Oryctolagus cuniculus: one gene and its partners. The protein of the gene in region 2 purifies or fractionates together with the protein of the main gene of each other region. This does not show direct contact. Links are inferred from orthologs where the notes say so. Each region holds a gene or a part of one and is shown on either strand. Other genes may lie near its edges.

Region 1 (3,751 bases), on a different chromosome or scaffold from region 2:
GTCAAGACACTCGGGGCGGTGCGTTTTCGGCGAGAGGATGGTTGCCCCCGGGGCCCGAGGCGCTGCCCTGGCATCCAGGGCAGGCGGTGGTCCGCGGCTCGCCACCTCCTCGCCCGAGAGGCGCTCGCCCGCTCCAGTCTTTGTGAGGGGACAAAATAAGTTCACTTCCTCGGGCACCGCCATCCACACACACCCACACCCCCACCCACCGCACCCCACCCCACCCCACCCACCCCCAGCAAATGACAAGGCTGGAGCGCAGCTTCCCACCGCGCACTTATTTCCCAAAGTCCCAGGTGAACTCGTGGCGAGAGGAGGAAAACGCGCGTCCCGGGCGCGGGTAGGTGCCTGTGGGCAGCGGGGAGGCGGCCAGACCCTGACACTCGCCAGCTGTTTGTCCTCCGCGCAGCCCTGGCCCCGGCCGCACACGCCCGCCCCTCCCCGAGACCCCCAGCCGGCCGCCCGGCCTTTTGTCCCCCCGCCCCTCGGCCGACTTCCTTCCCTGCGGCCGCACCCCCGCCCCCAGGCCGGAGGCGCGGCCCGGCCCCTTTCCCGGTCCCCTGGCGCCCCCACCCCACCCCAGCCCAGCCCCAAGCCCAGCCCCCCTCCCCCAGCCCGGCCCCCACCCTTTCCCCCTCCAGCGGTTACTGCTACCCCGGTGCATTGTGGGCGCACGGTCCGTTGTTCATTTGCCATTCGACCTCCGCCAGGGCCTGGTCGGACGGAAGCGCTCCGCCGGCTTTATTGTCGGCTCGTTATGTGGCGGAGCCGGGCAGTTTAACGTGCCTCTCGTCCTCAGCGCGTCGGCAGCCGGCGGCGGCGGCGGCGGCGGGACTCCTCGGCGCGCCGGAGGAAGGATATCTGTTTGGAGGGTCGGTGTGTGCGCGCGGCGTAGAAGAGGGGGCAGCGGAGGGTCTCCCCGCACTCCGCCTCTCAACTTCGAAGGCCCCACGCGCCCCGGCTCGCTCCTCGCCTCTCCGCCGCCCGCCCCCTTCTCCGCGCGGGACGCTGCCCGGAGCGCAGCGGGGCGGGGGTGGAGGACGCGGAGAGCGGCCGGAGGCGGCGGCGGCGGCGGCGGCAGCGGACGCGGACGCGTGCGGCAGCCCCGGGCGCGAGCCGGGCGGGAGGGCGAGGCCGAGCCCCGCGAGACCGGAACGCCGGGGGCGGGGGCGAAGCGGAGGGGGAGCCGCGGGGAGCGCGCGGGACGCGGCCCGAGGCCGGGCGCGAGCCGGGGCACCGGGCGGCGGCGGCGGCGGCGGCGGCGGCGGCTGCGCGCGCCATGTCGTTCAGTGAGATGAACCGCAGGACGCTGGCGTTCCGAGGAGGCGGGTTGGTCACCGCCAGCGGCGGCTCCACGAACAATAACGCTGGCGGGGAGGCCTCGGCTTGGCCTCAGCAGCCGCAGCCAAGACAGCCCCCGCCGCCGGCGCCGCCCGCGCTTCAGCAGCCCAATGGGCGGGGGGCCGACGAGGAAACGGAATTGGAGGGCCTGGAGCCCCAAGACTTGGAGGCCTCCGCTGGGGCGGCCGCTGCTGCGGCTGCCGCGGCCGCCGCCGAGGAAGCTAAGGAGTTGCTGCTCCCCCAAGACGCGGGCGGCCCCACCTCGCTGGGCGGCGGTGGCGCGGGGGGCCCCTTGCTAGCGGAAAGGAACCGTCGGACTCTGGCCTTCCGAGGAGGCGGCGGCGGCGGGGGTCTCGGCAACAATGGCAGTAGCCGCGGCCGGCCCGAGACCTCGGCGTGGCCCCTGAGGCATTTCAATGGACGAGGGCCGGCGGCTGTGGAGCTGGAGCTGGACGCGCTGGAGGGGAAGGAGTTGATGCAGGACGGCGCGTCCCTGAGCGACAGCACCGAGGACGAGGAGGAGGGGGCGAGCCTGGGCGACGGCAGTGGGGCGGAAGGCGGCAGCTGCGGCAGCAGCAGGCGGTCGGGCGGCGATGGCGGGGACGAAGTGGAGGGCAGCGGTGTGGGAGCTGGCGAAGGAGAGACTGTCCAGCACTTGCCGCTCGCGCGGTCCAAGTCCCTAATGCAGAAGCTCCAGTGCTCCTTCCAGACCTCCTGGCTAAAGGATTTTCCCTGGCTGCGGTATTCCAAGGATACTGGCCTTATGTTTTGCGGCTGGTGCCAAAAGACCTCCGAGGATGGGGGCAGCGTGGACCTGCCCCAGGTGGGGCACGATGAGCTTTCTCGAGGGACCCGCAACTACAAGAAAACCCTTCTCCTGAGGCACCACGTCTCTACCGAGCACAAACTCCACGAAGCCAACGCCCAGGTAGGCTAGAGCTCGCGCCTGCCTCTTTTAGGGGGAAGATTCCTTGGCTAAACCACCCATTCCCCTGAGCGAGGGCATCGCTCCCGTTGAGAGGGGTGCGGGGAGCCTTCCGCGTGGGGGTTTGGAAAGCCTGGGAACAAGTTTGCAAAAGTTGTGTATGTGGTGTGGGGGGAGGGGAACGGAATGACAATTTTCTAATCGTACCGCTGACTGTGTTTTTATGTCTTTATGACTGAGATTTCTTTGCTCTTGGGATTGAATCCAGTAGAAGGTTTTGAAAAAGTAGGTTGAAGGTTTTAGTCTAAAAGGATGACTTCGGGTCATGTATTTTATTAGCTGTGATTTTAGCGAAGCCGCCTTATGTTCGTAGAGGTTTAGTGTACTGCTGGAAGTCAGATCTGGCAACTGAAGAGTGGATTAGGCAGAGTTCCCTAAACCTGGCAATACCTCTCCCAAGAAACCGTCTAGCCGAAAGAGTTCTTCCATTAGAGCACGATAATGTGAAGTGTCAGAACTGTATGTAAATGTTGGGGAAGCTATTTGAATAACTCCTTTCTCATGTGAGTAATTTTACTAAACTCGTCTCGGCTGAACTTGTTGAACTTTCTTACCAAGACTTGCTTGTGGTAAACTGTCGTAGCTTTGACCTGTGTACTTCTATCCAGATTTCTGTGCTGAGAGTCTTCTATAGCCTTCTTTTTCAGAAACGTTCTTGTAAATCAGTTTACATTGAGTACTTTAAACTTAGCGTGGGAGATATTTAGTATGCAGTTTTTTTGGATCAAGTAGTTGATTTGAACTGGTAGGGAATTTTTTTTTTTGACCAAATTCTTGAAAACCCCAGTCTTTAGCTACAAATCAAGTAAGCTGTACTTTAGTTCTTAGTCCTCGTTTTAACATTTCTAGTCTAAAGATAGTAGCCTAACCATCAAGCCAAAGATGTTGATCAGCCCGTTTTTTTTTTCTTCTGACTTTTACAAAAAGATCCATGAATGTGGATGGAAATCATTCTTTTGTAGCCAAGTCATTGATTTTAGAAAGTCAATTCTCATATTTGTCCCTTGGTGTGTTGTTTATTGGCGTGATCTTGCGTTCAGCACCCTTGTAAGGGAGTTAGTTAGGCACACCAATAACCACACAGACCCAGTACAGAAGATTCTCAGAAGTTGGGGCTTTCACTGAAAAAGCATAGGGTTATTATTCCTATATACTTCAGATACAGTTTTGGGGTTTTTTTCTTTCCTTGCAGATATTTAGTTGCTTAAACCCTAGGAGGAAGATCATTTAAAGATACAAGCCCCAGAAAGGTTAAGTAAATTGTCCTAAGTCTTAAGAGTTCTGGGTGGCAACTGAGACTAAAGCCTATAAGGAGTGTCGTAATGGAAAAAGAATGGGTTTGGAGTAAATCTGGGTTCAGATCTCAGCTTTCTGCAGTTGCTAGCTTTGTGAGCTTGGGCAATGAAGTGAGATAGAGCTAACATT
Region 2 (3,232 bases):
TGCAGACTTTTCCAAGGGTCTTCTCTGAGGAAATGACTTCAGCTGTCTCTTCGTGAAAGCCATGTCCTTCAGGTTGTTTGGCAGGAGGTAACACTGGTGATAGAAAAGGGAAGAGTTCCTATGATACCTGTACTATGTTATTAAGGAAAGTCCTGGTATCACCTTCCGAGAGCACTAAAATGCACTGGATTCTTCTTGTATATGAATTTTTAGAGGAAGTTCTAAGTATTACTTCTTGCCCTATTTTATTTTTTATTTTGAATATTATTATTATCAGGTTTTGTTTTTGAAATATCTGAGAAGTGGAACGATATTGATCAGCACTCAGCATGTCGTTATCTCTTGGCGTTCAGTGACTGTTCACTGAGTGCCAGCTGCAGTGACAGCAGCCGCTCTCCAAGAAACTTTTGTGTCAGTCACCATGCTAGGCACGTTATTATATCACTCCTTTTAACAATCGTGTGACATAAGTGCTTTTATCCTGATCTTACAGTTGGAGAAACCAATCCTTAAAGAAACAAAGCGAAAGCAGAATCGCACCTGTTTCTTGTTGGCTCCCATGTCTATGGAACGAGCCACAGTTGCCACGTTCCTCCTCTGCTTTGGGCAGAGCTTGCTCATGTTGAAGTTGAAGGCAATCTGTCTGCAGGGACTTTTATTCAGGTGGAAGAGATGGGGAAGTGAAGAGATGCATGGATGCTGTGTGCAAACGCTCTGAGACAGACCTTGCTGGTGCCCCTCCCCCTCACCGTGGGTGCATAGAGAATGGCTAACCCAGCCTTGGGGGAGACAGAATTACTTCGGGAAGGCTTTTCTTGAGAAGGGGTGCTGAGATGAATGGAAATTCCTCAGGAACCTATTGGTCTTCGTACTTCATGTTGGCAGTGTCTGGCTTTGCCTTGTTCTTGGATTTCTGGATTTTATTTGTAGTTTGTTATTGTCTTATCATTCATTCACTAATAACCATGCTGGGCTCATGGATACAAAAATTTTCATAGTTCTTGTAAATCTTACATTCGGGCAGGAAAATAGATATTAAACAGGGCAATTATGAACTAACTTGATAGTATAATAGACTGTGAAGGAAAAGTAGTCAGAGTTGGAAGAGTGAATGACCTGGAACCTTAATTTGAGGTGGGGAACAGGCAGTGGTCAGGCTTCTTTAAGAAAATGTCATTGTTGCAAAGAACTCAAAAACGAGTAGGAAATATGTACACATGAGGAGAGGGGTGGTAATGGGAAAAGGGAGTAAAGAGAATTGCAGGTGAACAGAATTGCACGTTCAAAGTTTCTGAGGCCAGAAGGAAACTGGACGGGTCGATAAACTGAAATAAGGCCAATTGACTGAATTGTATTCAGCTACAAGCTGCATGAATTCAAACAAGACTTACAGAATACCTTTAAATGTTTTAAAAGGTATATCGCTTAACACATCTTAAAACCGTTGTTTTAATTCATATGCTCAACTCTAACTTGTGTATCTGTTTTTCTTTTCTAATCCAAAATAGTTTTTGTTGCTTTTGAAAACAAAATGTTACATATCACAGCTATATCACAAAAAAAGAACTAACTTCATGCCTTGGTTGAATTTGGAATAAAAGTTGATTTAAATATCAGCAAGTCTTGAATAGTGAAGTGTTCTGACAAAAAGTATCATCAGTGCAGTATTGAAATATCCACTTTCGATTGTAAAATAAAGGATTAATATATGCCATAGTTTTCCAGGCCAGCTCCAGACACCTTCTTGTTTTGGAAAAGTGCAGGCAACTGAACTTCACGATCACCATACTTCGAAGCAGGCTTTCAAAGCAAATAGCAAGGGTTTGATGTTGTTTTAGGTTGCTCCTGGTGGTCCTGATCTTTTTAAATAATGGACATTAAGAGGAAGGCTGGGAACGTGTATTACAAGTAGCTTCCTTCAGACTAGCTTACTCAGTATAAATGAAATATTGATGTATTTGAAAATGCCCAAGAGTTCAATAAAGGTTTTAAATAAAGCTACCTAAAAGTTGTGGTTCTTAGGTTAATCATTTATTTATCTAAAGGATGAAGGAAGCTGTCTACTTCTGTGATATGAACTGCAATCAGCTTAAAAATAATTGACAAATTAATCCCTTCACAGCACAGCAATTGTAAAGGTGTTAGTTTTAATTAGGCCTGTCTGATTGCCTTGTCTAATCAAGAATCAAGGTGGTATCTTTGATGGTTAAGGTCTATTGGGGCCATCCCTGACCTGCCAGCCATGTATGTTTTAATTATTGATTCCTCACTTTTCAGCCCTTCCCACAAAGGGACGTGAAGTTTGCAATCCCTTACCATTTACAGGGGAGAAAAAAAAAAATAAACATTTTCCCCAGCACTTCTGTCTGGAATCCCGTGTATCCTTTCCCGATTCTACAGTTTGCATCCAAACAGGCTGTCAGATTGATGACGAAGTCGAATGTGTATTGGGATGCTATTGTTCTGCTGTCTCACCTCCCCAGCGCCAGATTTGCAGTGGACGTTGTTGAGAGCTTGACAAATCACTGTCATTTATGCTTTAGGAAACACATTTGGTTTCTTTATATTGTGGCTTTAAAAAAGACAAAAATCCCCAAGGGCAGATGTAGCACTGGGAAGTCAGAGGTTAGACCAAAGGGGACACAGATCTCGCAGAACATTTCCTCGTGGTGTTTGCGAAGAAGGACCCAGGCGAGAGCTCGTGCGCCATCGGAATTAAGTCCAGCACACACAGGAGCAGGGGCAGCCGCTGGGCCTGGTGGTCCCTGAGTGTGATGTTGGTTCTTCTTTGCTTGCAGGTCAACGAAGTGACGGTGGAGCAGCTGGTGCAGCAGTACCCCCACATCACCTTCAGCACTGTCCTGCAGGACTGCAAGAGAACCCTGGAGAGAGCCTATCAGATGGGCTGGACCCCCAACATGTCGGCCGCCTCCTCCTAGCACCCCTGCCCACCAGGATTAGGTCCACCAGGACCATTCAGCAGGCCAGAGGGGAGTTGTAGTTTTGGGGTGGGAATCTCTTGAATGGTTTTAACTGTCACCTCTCTGCGTGTGTACCAGAGTGTGTATATTTGTGTCTCGTTTGCCTTCTGCACAGCATAAGCCCACATGTTCCTTGTTCCTGAGTGAGCTGGCCTTTTTTTTTTTCTTAACATTTACAAATCATGAAAGCCACAGACATTTTCATTTTTAAGTTCAAAGGCTGATTTCTCTTAAAAAAAAGATTTTTAATA
Region 3 (3,751 bases), on a different chromosome or scaffold from region 2:
ATTGGTGACTTTTCATTTATTATTTTAGGTTACAGCAGACCTCCCCTTGATGTTTTTCAAAGATGAAAATTTTGAAGGATAATGCACACAATTACATTTACTACAGTCACCTACAATTTGACTTAATAACACCACAAAGAGACATCTAATTTAAACATTGTTCTGCATATCTCCTTTCATTTGTTAAAACAGCTATGTTGAATACACTTTCAGAATGCATTTGTTAGCCACCTGATAAACAAAGCCAAACAAGACAAATAATGTTACCTTTTTATCTCACAACTACCAACCATTGTGAAGAAGATACAACTGAAGGGGAAATAGGAGATCATCCATGAAGAACTGCCAAGATATAACACCTTAGATCTAAGAATGATCTGAAGGTGCTGAGAGTGGCGACTCTCTAGAAGGTGATCCAGGGTTTTCTTCAGGGGGAAAAACCGTGAGGGTACAAGCTCGGATGCCACCGAGTGACTCTGGAAGGTCAAAAACTTTATGCCACTCATCTTTTTCTGGATCATATTTCTGGACAATTTCTACCATACAACGATTATTCCAAGAATATCCACCAACAACGTAGATTTTATTTTCAAAGACAGCAACTCCAACATCACTTTGACCTCTTAACATGGCAGCAATTGGTGTCCACTGGTCAAGCGTTGGTGAATAGTATTCACAGCTTAGAACATCATCATAATCACTTGTTCCTCTGAAGTGATTGCCACCGATGACATAGAGCTTATCTCCAACTGTACACATGCAATGCAATCCTCTGACTGTAGTCATTGGGGCCTTCTGTGTCCATTTGTCTGTATCCGGGTCAAAACACATGAGCTCATTTTGGAAAGTGTCATGGGTAATTCCTCCTGAAATATACATTAAGCCTCCATACACTGTTCCAGCATGGCCATAATGGGGTTCACTCATTTTTGCAACATAGCTCCACTCATTCATTCGTGGGTTGTAACATTCTACTGTGGCCAGTTCACCAGCTGCACTGCGCCCTCCAACTGCATACAAATGTCCTTTGAGAGCACTCAAGTGGAAGAAAGTGCGCTTTTCATTTAATGATGCAACTTGCATCCATTTATTATATCGAGGATCAAATCTAAAAACTGTATCGACAGCAGTTTTTCCTTTTGTATCATAATTACTTTGACCACCAACCACATAAAGGAAGTTTCCAATGACAGCAATGCCATGCTGGTAACGAGGAGCATCCATGGGGGCTAAAGATCTCCACTCTTGTGCTCTTTCATCATACATCCTTAATTCTTTACTGACAACCAGCTGTTGCCTCAACACTCCCCCTAAGGTAACCAAGTGCGTAGAGTCAGACCGAATGGCAGTTCTGTCAGACTGCATCACTGGCTGCATATATGGCATCATTTGGTAGTTGCTAGCTTCCAAAAGCAAGTTCACACAGGTATTGTCTGTTCTCATGAAATCCACGGTCTGCACATAATTGATGAGGTCCTGTGGTGTCATCAGTGGAAATCGAATATTCTTCATTAATTTTGCAGCATAATCCATCCGAGGATCTTCCAACCTTAGCCATCGACAGGCAGCCTTGAATAGTTCAAGTTCAGTACAGTGCTTTAGACTATTACTGGAAAGCACAAAGGCAAGCCGTTCAAAAGGGAGTTTTAGAAACTCTCCAGTACTCAGTAAAGCAGGGAAGTTCTTCAAGATGAAATTATTAACATATTTATCCACTTCTATTAGATTGTAGGTGTTAGCAATTCGTCCAACCTCAACGCAGTTATCCAAAGAGACTCCTGATATAAGAAATACTTTACAGAAATCCAAAACGGGTAAGATTTGTAAGAAGCTAGCAGCTTCAAGAGTGTCCTGAAGATTGTCCATGTTAAGAGAAAGTTTTGCAGTATAAATAAAATCAATGATTTTCTTCAGACCAACCTTGTTCACCCCATGAAGCTTAATGCACATTAAATCTTGCTCTTTCATTCCACCTGTGAACATAGCCTTGAAATAATCACTAGCAGAAGCCATCATCGCTCTGTGAACAGGGAAGATTTCATCTCCATCGCCCGGTACCAGGGTCACATCACAAAGCAAACCTTCTATTCTAAGCTGATCAAAGCCTTGCAGTACCACCGAACTGTGAGTATTGCTGGTAAAAAACCGTGTGGTTCCCGTCTTGCAAGGTTGCAGATGGGCAGAGACGCCCATTTCGCCGTTACCGAGAGACACTTTCATGTGAAAGCCTCCCTCTTGTACAGATGTATGCCGAAGAAAGCAATTATAACCCGAATGTTTTTCAGGAAACAGAGATGTCCACAGAGCTCACTTCCCCTAGCAAGGACGAGCAGTCACCGTGGCGCCCCTCAGGACACACCAGTCAGTCGTCCACTGGAAACTCTCCAGCGGCAGGGCCACAAACGGCGGTGGACCTCAAATCTAATTATTAGGCTGGCGATTCATCACCTTAAGGCAGTTAAATGACCCGGTTCACCTCGTCTGGCCTGCGCTGCCGCTCCTTCAGCAGTTCCGCTCGCAGCCGAGGGGGAGGTGCCGCCACGTACTGAGGCTCCGCCGCTCACTCTGCGGCGCGACCGGGCTCCTCCGCGGGCGGCCGCCTGCGCCTTCCGCTGTCACTCGACCGTCGCCGCGGCCACCGGCCAGTTTTGCAGCAAGGGCCTGGAACACCGCCTGGCCTTGGGCCTGGGCCGGGAACACAGAATTAGCCACTGACGCCGAGCCGATCCTTCCGGAAAGGCCTAGTCCCAGGATCCCCCGGGCTAGGAGCGTCCGTGGGAACTACTGCGCCTGCGCAGCCGTCTGCCCTGATTGGTGGGCGGGCTTGCCGACGTGTCCGGGAGGGGGAGGAAGAGCGGGATGGGCGGGGCGTGCGGGGGTTGGAGAAGCCGAGCGGTCGCAGGTGGGTGGTAGCGGGGCGCGGGGGAGTCTCCGTGTGCGTGAGGCTGGGTAGGCCGGAAGGAGTACCCGTAAGTTACACGCGCATTTGGTGTAGATGAGTCTGGATTCTTCTTTAAGGTGTAGGCTCGCTGGCCGCTTCTAACAATGAAATAAGAACGATTTTTGTATAAATTGAGAGGCCGCCTGGCAAAGTAACCGTAGGGGGAGGATGCTTAAATGATCTTTCTCTATAAAACACTTCATAAATTTTACCCGGTATAATTTAACAGACACTTCAATGATTTGGGTTCATATTTGAAATTTTTATCGTTGGAAACATAGTATTTGTCGCTAGTAAAATGTGACCATACGAATAGTAAAAACCTAGTATATTCATCATTTCTGGCTTAACAATGCAATGCCATCATAATTTTTTTTCAAGCTTTTGATTACCACTCACATTTTAAATGCACAATTTTCCACTAGTTACATAACATAGTTTCTTTGACCATTATTTTTACCTGGATATATACATTCTTAGCCTCTCTTGTCCTATAGAAACTAAAATCAACTTAATAGAAACTCACCCTGTTTTGGGTTATGTTTGGTAGAATATTGATTTAAGTCCATATTTCAGAAATACTGTCACGACAGTGTATTTCTCTGCTATTGATTTTTATCTTACTTTATTAACTTTCATTAATTACTATTTTAACTTTTGGCTTATGAATAAATGAATACTTTGATGCAATTTCTCCCAATATTTTCAAAGTCTGAGATTATTACTCCTCTAAATCCTTCCAGACTTTCTTTATGCCTATGTAAACTAAGGGAGTTACATTTAAAAAATTTTTATTTAAGGTATACAAGT

The links.
Region 1: the proteins of FBXL17 (region 2) and ZBTB10 purify together in Homo sapiens (affinity purification with western blotting; 3 studies listed by BioGRID and IntAct, with this or other methods). This does not show direct contact. The link is inferred for Oryctolagus cuniculus from reciprocal best matches to the Homo sapiens genes FBXL17 and ZBTB10.
Region 3: the proteins of FBXL17 (region 2) and KLHL9 purify together in Homo sapiens (co-immunoprecipitation; 3 studies listed by BioGRID and IntAct, with this or other methods). This does not show direct contact. The link is inferred for Oryctolagus cuniculus from reciprocal best matches to the Homo sapiens genes FBXL17 and KLHL9.

Annotation. Positions count from the first base shown.
Region 1 is NC_091437.1:106,000,197-106,003,947, forward strand, and holds the start of ZBTB10 (zinc finger and BTB domain-containing protein 10), read left to right. Parts: upstream 1-1,166; 5' UTR 1,167-1,279; coding exon 1,280-2,269; intron 2,270-3,751. UniProt on the Homo sapiens protein: May be involved in transcriptional regulation.
Region 2 is NC_091445.1:30,474,909-30,478,140, reverse strand, and holds part of FBXL17 (F-box/LRR-repeat protein 17), read left to right. Parts: intron 1-2,798; coding exon 2,799-2,939; 3' UTR 2,940-3,232. UniProt on the Homo sapiens protein: Substrate-recognition component of the SCF(FBXL17) E3 ubiquitin ligase complex, a key component of a quality control pathway required to ensure functional dimerization of BTB domain-containing proteins (dimerization quality control, DQC).
Region 3 is NC_091432.1:184,421,016-184,424,766, reverse strand, and holds the start of KLHL9 (kelch-like protein 9), read right to left. Parts: upstream 2,221-3,751; coding exon 367-2,220; 3' UTR 1-366.